2 linked regions of the Mus musculus genome follow. The protein of the gene in region 1 purifies or fractionates together with the protein of each later gene. This does not show direct contact. Links are inferred from orthologs where the notes say so. Each region holds a gene or a part of one and is shown on either strand. Other genes may lie near its edges.

Region 1 (4,445 bases):
ACACCCACATCCTGGGGAGCCAGGAGCTCTGAGAAGCGGGCACCCCGAAACACATCCCGTTTGCAACGCAGCAGGACACCTGCCTGCTCCGAAATATAGACAATCCGGCCTGTCAGGAAGGACACAGCCACAGAGAAGGTGTCCTAGAATGAGACCAAGACCGGGGGAAGACTTAGGAGCTGTAGGAATGGGGGGTGGGGGGGCGGGGAGGGGGGTTAGAACTGAGGACCCAAGCTGTAACTGACCTGGTTTCGAAGTGTGTATTCGGATGTGATATGCTCCAATTCCTCCAGGGTGTAAGTAGACATGTCCATGGCACAAGGCTCACCCTCCTCCAGACTCCACTGCTGGTAATATTCCTGGTTAGCTGTAGGAGAAGGGAATCCAAGCCATATTCAGTTAGGAGAAAGGCCCCTACAGTAGTCCAAGTCCTGGCCAGACCCTGCCAGGAAGCACAACTCACTCACCCTGAACCTGCTTGACACAGGCCAGAGCGTACTGCAGTGTGGCCAAGGTCCCAGAGCGGCCCTTGCCCCGACGCTCTGGTGGCAGTCGAAGTTTGAGCTCCCGAAGTGCAGTCATGAGTTCTTTCTGGGTCCTGGCTCGAGCTGACTGTTCACTGCTGCAGGACCCACAGGAATGAAGGGGTAAAGATATTAGCCCCGAAGTCTGGCCCGGCCCCCAGGCATCTCCCTCAGCCCTCAGCCTACACACCTGCAGCCACTGGTAGATGGGTTGTCCTGCTCTGAGCTCGCACTCAGGAGGCTGTAGGCAATGGAGCTGCTGGGTGGGGATGGGCTCTGTGAGTTTGTACTAGAAAAGAAGGAACAGGCTAAGGTGAGGGAGGGCCACGTGGTCAGCAGCATCATGCCATCATACACACACATACACTCGTACACACCTCTTGCTGCTCTCAGTGGTCTCCAGCAGAGCTGAGTCCTTGCCATTGCCAGAAGAGGAACTATGAGAACTCCGCTGAGATGCGCCCCTGGACTCGGGTCCGTTGGACTCATTGCCACTTGAGCCATTGCTGTTTGCATCAGTGTCATCAGCCAGGCTGGGGCCTGGACAAGGCCGGTGCTGCGGGGCCCCAGGGGATGGGACTCCTCCAGGACAAAAAGGTTCTCCGGGCCTGGGGTCTCCTCCCCCATCGGCCCCTTCTAGGGGACCACTCATGTCTGGGCCATACAGTGGAGGACGAAACAGGGAAGGTGAAGAAGCCACCACGGGTGCACAACGGGGCTTTTGAGGTCTGGATAAAGGAGGTAGGACGCCTGTCTCTGAGGGCTGACTAATTTAATCACGACACCTAGAAAAAGAAACCAAAAAGGAATGTTTAGCAAAAGCTGAGCTATTAACCCCACAGCATCTGCTGGCTACACCCAGTCCTTCCTCTGCCTGCCCCTCACTGTTGTGACTCAGGCCTGGGGCTTGCAATAGAAATATGTTCTATTTCCTTAGGGGGACCTAAGGATACCACAGGTAGAAAGGCAGCTCTCGTAGGCCATCTCTTACACCCCTTGCCAGTGTGGAATGAGTACAGCCTGAACAATCGACTAGAACAGTAGCTGAGGGTCAAAGCTTGCAGGTTTCCTATGCCCAAATTCTCATCAGGTCCCCACCTGGTCTGGGACTCTGAGGCCTCGGAGCAGGGGGTGAGCTGATCGCCTCCTATATTTAGGCTTCCGGGCTAATTTTATCCGGGGGCGGTGCCACCCCCGCTGCACATGCGCGCCGATGTGCCTGGCCCCACCACGCGCTTCCGCCACAGCCGCGGTCGCCAGGGAAACCGACGTCAGCCGCTGAGCTCAGCGGTTGCTGGAGGGACCACAGGAGGGCAGGAACGACTCCTCCCCCAATCCCCATCTTCGTGGAAGTGGGAAACAGACCCAGTCCTATACTGGCCAACACACCCTCATACTGGCTAACAAGGTTCAGGGCAGCGGGGAGGAGAAGAACACCCACCATAACAAATTCCCAGGGCCCAAAGAGCCTAGGAGCCATGTGAAGAGTAACAAACTAGAGGAACTCCAGGAGCAAGTCCTAGCTTCCCCACTCGGCCTCTGCTCTTTGTGGAAACGCCCCCATCCTCGCTCTTGCCTCGAACATTATTCTGATCAAGACACTGCTTTTCTTTCTCAAGCCCCTGCCCACTCCCAAACACCAGGACTGGAGTTACCACTTGCCATAGGCAACGACTCAGGCATCTTCCTTCGTCCCTTACTTTTCTAGTTAACCCTACTACCACATAGATAGGGGACACACAACAACCAGCATATATAGTTTTTCCTCTACTCCCTGTCTAACCACACCCCCATCCCAAGTATTTTCTGAGCGCCAGGAGAAAAGGGAAGGAAGGCTGTGGCCAACAGCAAGAACTAGCGCTGAGAACAGGATGTTCCAGCCTGAAGCGGTTGACATCACGACCGGCACGAGGCCAGGAATTGGAGGGAGGAAGACAGGGAGCGCAGAAGCCTGAAGGGGGTCTTTGGGCTAGGGCAAACCCATGGACTCCCGAGTGTCGAGCAATGTGTAAAGGGGTCGTGTTCGCTAAAGGTCTCTTAGGTTCAGGATGGCTGCTCTGGAGGAGCAGAGGAGGAGATTAGGTGAACGAATAACAAACGCAGACAACCCGTGACGGGTTGAGTTGAACACCTAGGGCCCAGGGGCGGGGAAGGGTGGATAGTGACAGGAAAGGCAGATTATTGTTTTGCTCTCTGAGAGCTGAAAGCGACCCATCACGTTGGAAGTAGTGGCGGCCAAGCTCCGGGACAAAGACTAACCCTAGGATTGCAGCAGGGATCCCTACCTGGCCGTTCGAGCGCCCTCCATCCGCTTGCCGTTTCGGCCCGCAACCCAGAAGCTCCGCGAGGCTGGGAGGCGGGTTGCATAATGCCAGGCCCTGCCCCTCATTGGCCTTCTGCCCGAAGAGCCGCAGGCCCCGCCCCCGGTTGGCTAAGGATCTCTTCCTGGCATCTGATTGGCTACTGGCCCCCACTGAGGTCAGGGCTGTGTCACACACATCCCTGCACGTGGACTTGGGTGCTGGTGCTGGGCTGAAGGGCCTCAGACACCGCTCAGTCAGCCAATGCGATCAGGATGTCTCACACCGTCAATAATGAAAGGGAAGTGAGGGAGGGAAACTACCCCTTTTCAGGGAGGATACCTGGGCCACAGGAAGTGCTCAAGAGAAACCTACTTCCTAAACTGACCAGCTTGGCAGAACAAGACACCTGTCCTGGTGCCGGGTGAATGAAATGTCTGCTACCCAAGGGAAGTGGGAGAGAGAAAAACCTAGACTGACATTCCCTGGCCTCTCCCCAGCCTTGTTATAAAGAATCCAACCCTTTCCTCTGACCCTTCAGATCCTGAGAGAAGGGCAATTGAGGGCCCACGTGTCGTTAAGGGGTGAGTGGGTGATGGAAGGATACGGACAAACGGAAAGGACAGGGAAAGCCAATGGCTACTGTGAAAGGAAACAAAAGCAGGTGCTTCACTAGCCAATCAGAGAAAAGGTCTCCAGGAAGCCTACTTGGTGACTAGTGCTGCCTCTGCAGAGGATGCAGCCACCCACATTTAGGGCTGCCCCAAAAGTGGGGACCAGGAAGCCAGTACTACAAAAGGGGCAGCAGAGAGGGCAGTTGCAGCAGTAGGCAGAAAAAGGATGGGTGGCTGGGTGGCAAGGGCTTTTTATTGGGCTTTTTATTCCTGCTGCTTAGAATACAAAAGCCAAGGTTCATGAACCCAGCAGCAAGCCCATCTGTCTCATTTACTGTATTCTCAGCAGTAAGGTAAGTACGTCTCAGCGTCAGGACTGACAGTAGATGCTCGGTAAACAGGATGGCTCTGTTTCTATTAAGGATAGGTAGGGGAGAGAGAGCCTCAGGAGAGGAGGCAACAAATTATGTTTTCAAAAGAAAAGTAGAGCATTGATTCATAAAAAGAGAATAGAGACTCGATTTTGGGGAGGGGGGGACAACATGCCAGTCTGGGTCCAGGAGAGCTACAGTGACAGAGTCCCCTTCCCTAGGCCTGGGCTGAGTAGTTCTCAGGCTTCCCTGCAAACGTAGGTGGCAAGTGAAGAGGCCAACACGCAGCGGCTGACATAATCAGCTGTTAAGTGCACGCCCCTCACTGTCACGTGGCTAAAGCTTTCCTTAACAATGGTGTTTCCCTTAGAGGAGGCGGGCGAGACAAGGTTCTATAGAAATGCTGGGACACAGACCTGTTATAAAATAACCCAGAAAAACAGAAGCAGGGAAACACAGAAAACAAAAGACACGGGAGGCTGAGTGCTCAGCTTCCTCCTCCTGAAAATGATGCTGCTCTCCTGCCCCCTCGTACTGCGTTGTGACCGTGTGCTGTCCTTTTTTTTTTTTCCAGACCCCTTTCTCTTTCCACAGCTCTCAAGGATTTAGGTGTGATTCCTCTGACCCAAGCAGCCA
Region 2 (3,645 bases), about 52 Mb from region 1:
AAAAGTAGTCAGAGGTCATTTTTCATCTGCAGATTCATTCTAGATGAAGTCATTTCTTGTGTGAGTGGATAAGCTGCCCTGACTGTAGGCAAGAAGAATAAGATATATTGCTTCTTACTATAGTGTTCCCAAAGATTTCTTGTGGAGTAGTAAGTGAAGTTCTTCCACCTAGATATGTCAGTGGCATTCCTGTTATTCTTACAGATCTGCAGCATCGGAGATTGGCTTTTGGCCCAGGTGTGGTCAGAGCAGCCAGCCATCTGACAGACCAAAATGACTTGTCTATGATTCTTGGGTGGCAGCAGACACAATTTGTTGGCTTTAGGTTGTCCCTATGCCTATAGGCCACCTAAGTGACTCATTCCTCGGCTCCCTGTGAAACTCTTGCATACCCCTCCCATCTCAGTTAACAAAGAGATTGAGTCACGGAGAGCTAGCCAGGCTTCTCAGTCCACAGCTTCTCTACCCAGCACAGAACCTGGTCATGCTTGGTTGTATCAGGCTCTATTTAAAAAAAAAAAAAGAAAAGAAAAGTACAAATCTTTTTCAAATAACTACAGTCCTTGGAGTATAGAACTGCTTTCCACTTAGAAACAACCTGTCGAGGAAGAGGGCTGTGTGGAATGTTAGGTCCTGGATGTACCATGCAGAAGCAGGGAAACTCCGAAGCAGCCTGGACCAGGTAGACTGAGGAACATTTATGTGGGAGCTTTTAGAGTAAAGCATGAAAGGGATGCTTACAGATAACACCGTCTTTACCTCCAAATTCCACAGCCCTAGTTATCGTAACATCGTCACAAATTAACAAAAACTCTGTGGCCCCAAGGGGCTGAGGGTGGCACCTGCCTTTAATCCTAGCATTTGAGAGACAGAGGTAGGTCAGTCTGAATTCAAGGCCAGTCTGATCTACAAAAAGGAGTGGAGAGTTTTCCCTTGGTTTAGTTGAGGGTCTTTGTTAAGCCTATGGTAGTTTGTTTGGAGATGATTGTGTCCACATTAGAACCACTGGTGAGAAACTGTTGAGGTGTGTGGGTAGACGTCAGGCTTGTCTGGCCTGAGATCGGGAGGAGAGAGAATAGGGGGACACTCAGCTGTCCTCCTCTTGGGAGACTCAGGCACGCTCCAAAAGGCCTATCAAACCGTCACAGAGAAGCATCCCATTGCTCTCTGTCTTAGTTAGCCCTGAGTGGGTAGAAGGAATGGGGCCTGCAGCTATATTGACTAGCTGGTGGGTACAATGGGTACAGGTAAAAATGGAAGGTAGAATGTCAAAGATGTTTTCTTACATGTTTTTGAATAAAGATAGTTTTTTTGTGTGTTGGTCAGCCAGCAGTACCTTCTCTTAATAGGAAGTACAAAGCACTATCATTTAGTCCGTCTTAGGAAGCCAGTACTATAAGGGGTAGGGTGTGGTGTGGTTCAGTGGCATGGTTTTGGCCATGTGCAAGGGTGTTGGATTCCATCCCTAGCACTGTTCCTGCCTCACAAAGATGTAATGGATATCAAATAACCCAAAAGCTTTGGGTTATGTGGTAGACACAGAATAATATATGTAACTTTGTTTGTTTGTAAGGTACGGACATTGCTGCGGGAGAAGAAGTTGCCATCAAGCTTGAATGTGTCAAAACCAAACATCCTCAGCTCCACATTGAGAGCAAGATCTACAAAATGATGCAGGGAGGAGGTAAGGTTCATGTTCAGTTCATGTCTACCATAGCCTACAGATGATACATAGCTTACAGATACATCGCCTACAGATAGAGCAGACCTCACACCCCAGAGGAAGCAGACTTAATGGGCTTTGCTTAAGAGCTCCCCCTATTAGCTTCCCATTAAATGATAATGTCTTTGAAAGATGGATTTTGTGTAAATTTCAAAGTAAACATGGTGCTCCTTGTCACAGCACAGTGCTTCCTGCTAGCTGGCTTCTTCTGGGTCACATGCTTTCCTTAGAACTTGAGGGTAGTCTCATAAAACTCTGAAGTTTCAGTTTTCTCTTGGATAGGAGTTTTGAACATAACTTCTCTGACTCCCAGCTAAGTCACTGTTCTCAGTTCTGTAAAACTTTACTGCAAGACCTTGGAGTACTAAGTAGTTTGCCTGATGAAACAGGAGCTCTAATTTGAGGCTTTCAAGACCATGAGACCCAACCCCACCTCCTAGGATAGGAGCCTGCTTGTGACAGGATTTGTATCTGAAAAACAAACAAACAAACAAACCACAGAAGCCTCTGTGGTGCTGTGATAGTTGGAATAGGGAGGAGAGCCCCCCACCATGTGACCATGTGACCCCCCCACCATGTGACAGACTCTTTATTGGCCTCAGCAGGAAAAGGGAAACTGTTGGTTTGATGTTTTGTTGCCCTCCCTCAGCAAAAGCAATTTAATTCTACCTCTCCTGGAAACCAACTTTCTCTAACAAAATGTCTAAGGCAGTAGCTGCATGCCATTGTGTGTCCATCTTAGTGGCCATTGTATTCCCTTAATGTCCATTGTATCCTATCCTGGGTATAGAATCAAAGGAGGCCATAGGTAGATGAACAATACCTGGTGACATCCACACATACCTTCCAAACATAGGGCTGGTGCACATATGAACTCACAGAGACTGTCTATGGGCCTAATCCAGATGGGTTCCCAGCCCCAAGAGAGGAAGTAGACACAAGCGACCATCCCTAAACCAGAAGCTATCTCCAACAGAGTATCACCAGTTATACAAAACAAGCCACTCTTAAGGATAAATGTCATGCCCAGCAGTAGATGAACAAGACAGCATGAACTCAATGGCATTTTTGGGTTCCTTGTCTCATAATGATTTGTTTGGACATTTTTGTTCTTTTTTCTTTTGCTTTTCCTGTCAGATCTTTTGCTTATGTTTTATGGTTTCTGGTGTTGTGTGTTAATTGGGAGTTCTCTGTGTGTCTCTGCATCTGTATGTGTTTCATGTGCTCTTTGGTTCTTTTGTTGTTTTATCCTTTTCCGTTTTGTTGGGTTTTATTTTTAACTTTATTTTCTCAAAAAGAGGTCAGCAGAGTCCCAGTCCTGTACGCCTGCCCTTTGGCACATCCTCAGTAGGACAGTCTTCGTGAGGGCATTAGCTTTTGTAACAAGTGGAGTAGAACAAAACAGCATAAGAATTAAGCTTAATGCATGAAGGGGTTATAATAAGTTCTGAAAATGTGCTAGCCTAGAGTGCCTAAGGGTGCTGCAGCCTGATAGTGGTCAGAAAGGAGCATAGTGGGCTCCAGAGAGGCACGAGGTTCCAGCATCCCTGCCATGTGCTATGGTTACTGCTCTTTTTTTTTTTTTTTTTTTTTTTTTAAAGATTTATTTATTTATTATATGTAAGTACATTGTAGCTGTCTTCAGACACTCCAGAAGAGGGAGTCAGATCTCCTTACGGATGGTTGTGAGCCACCATGTGGTTGCTGGGATTTGAACTCTGGACCTTCAGAAGAGCAGTCGGGTGCTCTTACCCACTGAGCCATCTCACCAGCCCTGGTTACTGCTCTTTGTGCACTGTGTCAGTTGCCCTCCCAGGTTATGATTGGAGAATAAAGTTGTGGATAGTGCAGGGTACCTACTGCTGGGTAGCATTACTCACTGTGTGGGCCCTTAATCACTTGCCCATATCCCTTCTCTAGAT

What was found.
Region 2: the proteins of Per1 (region 1) and Csnk1d purify together in Homo sapiens (affinity purification with mass spectrometry; 4 studies listed by BioGRID and IntAct, counting the BioPlex papers as one, with this or other methods). This does not show direct contact. The link is inferred for Mus musculus from reciprocal best matches to the Homo sapiens genes PER1 and CSNK1D.

What each region holds. Positions count from the first base shown.
Region 1 is NC_000077.6:69,097,373-69,101,817, reverse strand, and holds the start of Per1 (period circadian protein homolog 1), read right to left. Parts: upstream 2,870-4,445; 5' UTR 2,810-2,869; intron 1,667-2,809; exon of another isoform or gene 1,623-1,666; intron 1,310-1,622; 5' UTR 1,177-1,309; coding exon 902-1,176; intron 814-901; coding exon 715-813; intron 623-714; coding exon 468-622; intron 368-467; coding exon 246-367; intron 144-245; coding exon 1-143. UniProt on the Homo sapiens protein: Transcriptional repressor which forms a core component of the circadian clock.
Region 2 is NC_000077.6:120,981,272-120,984,916, reverse strand, and holds part of Csnk1d (casein kinase I isoform delta), read left to right. Parts: intron 1-1,573; coding exon 1,574-1,684; intron 1,685-3,645. UniProt on the Homo sapiens protein: Essential serine/threonine-protein kinase that regulates diverse cellular growth and survival processes including Wnt signaling, DNA repair and circadian rhythms. It can phosphorylate a large number of proteins.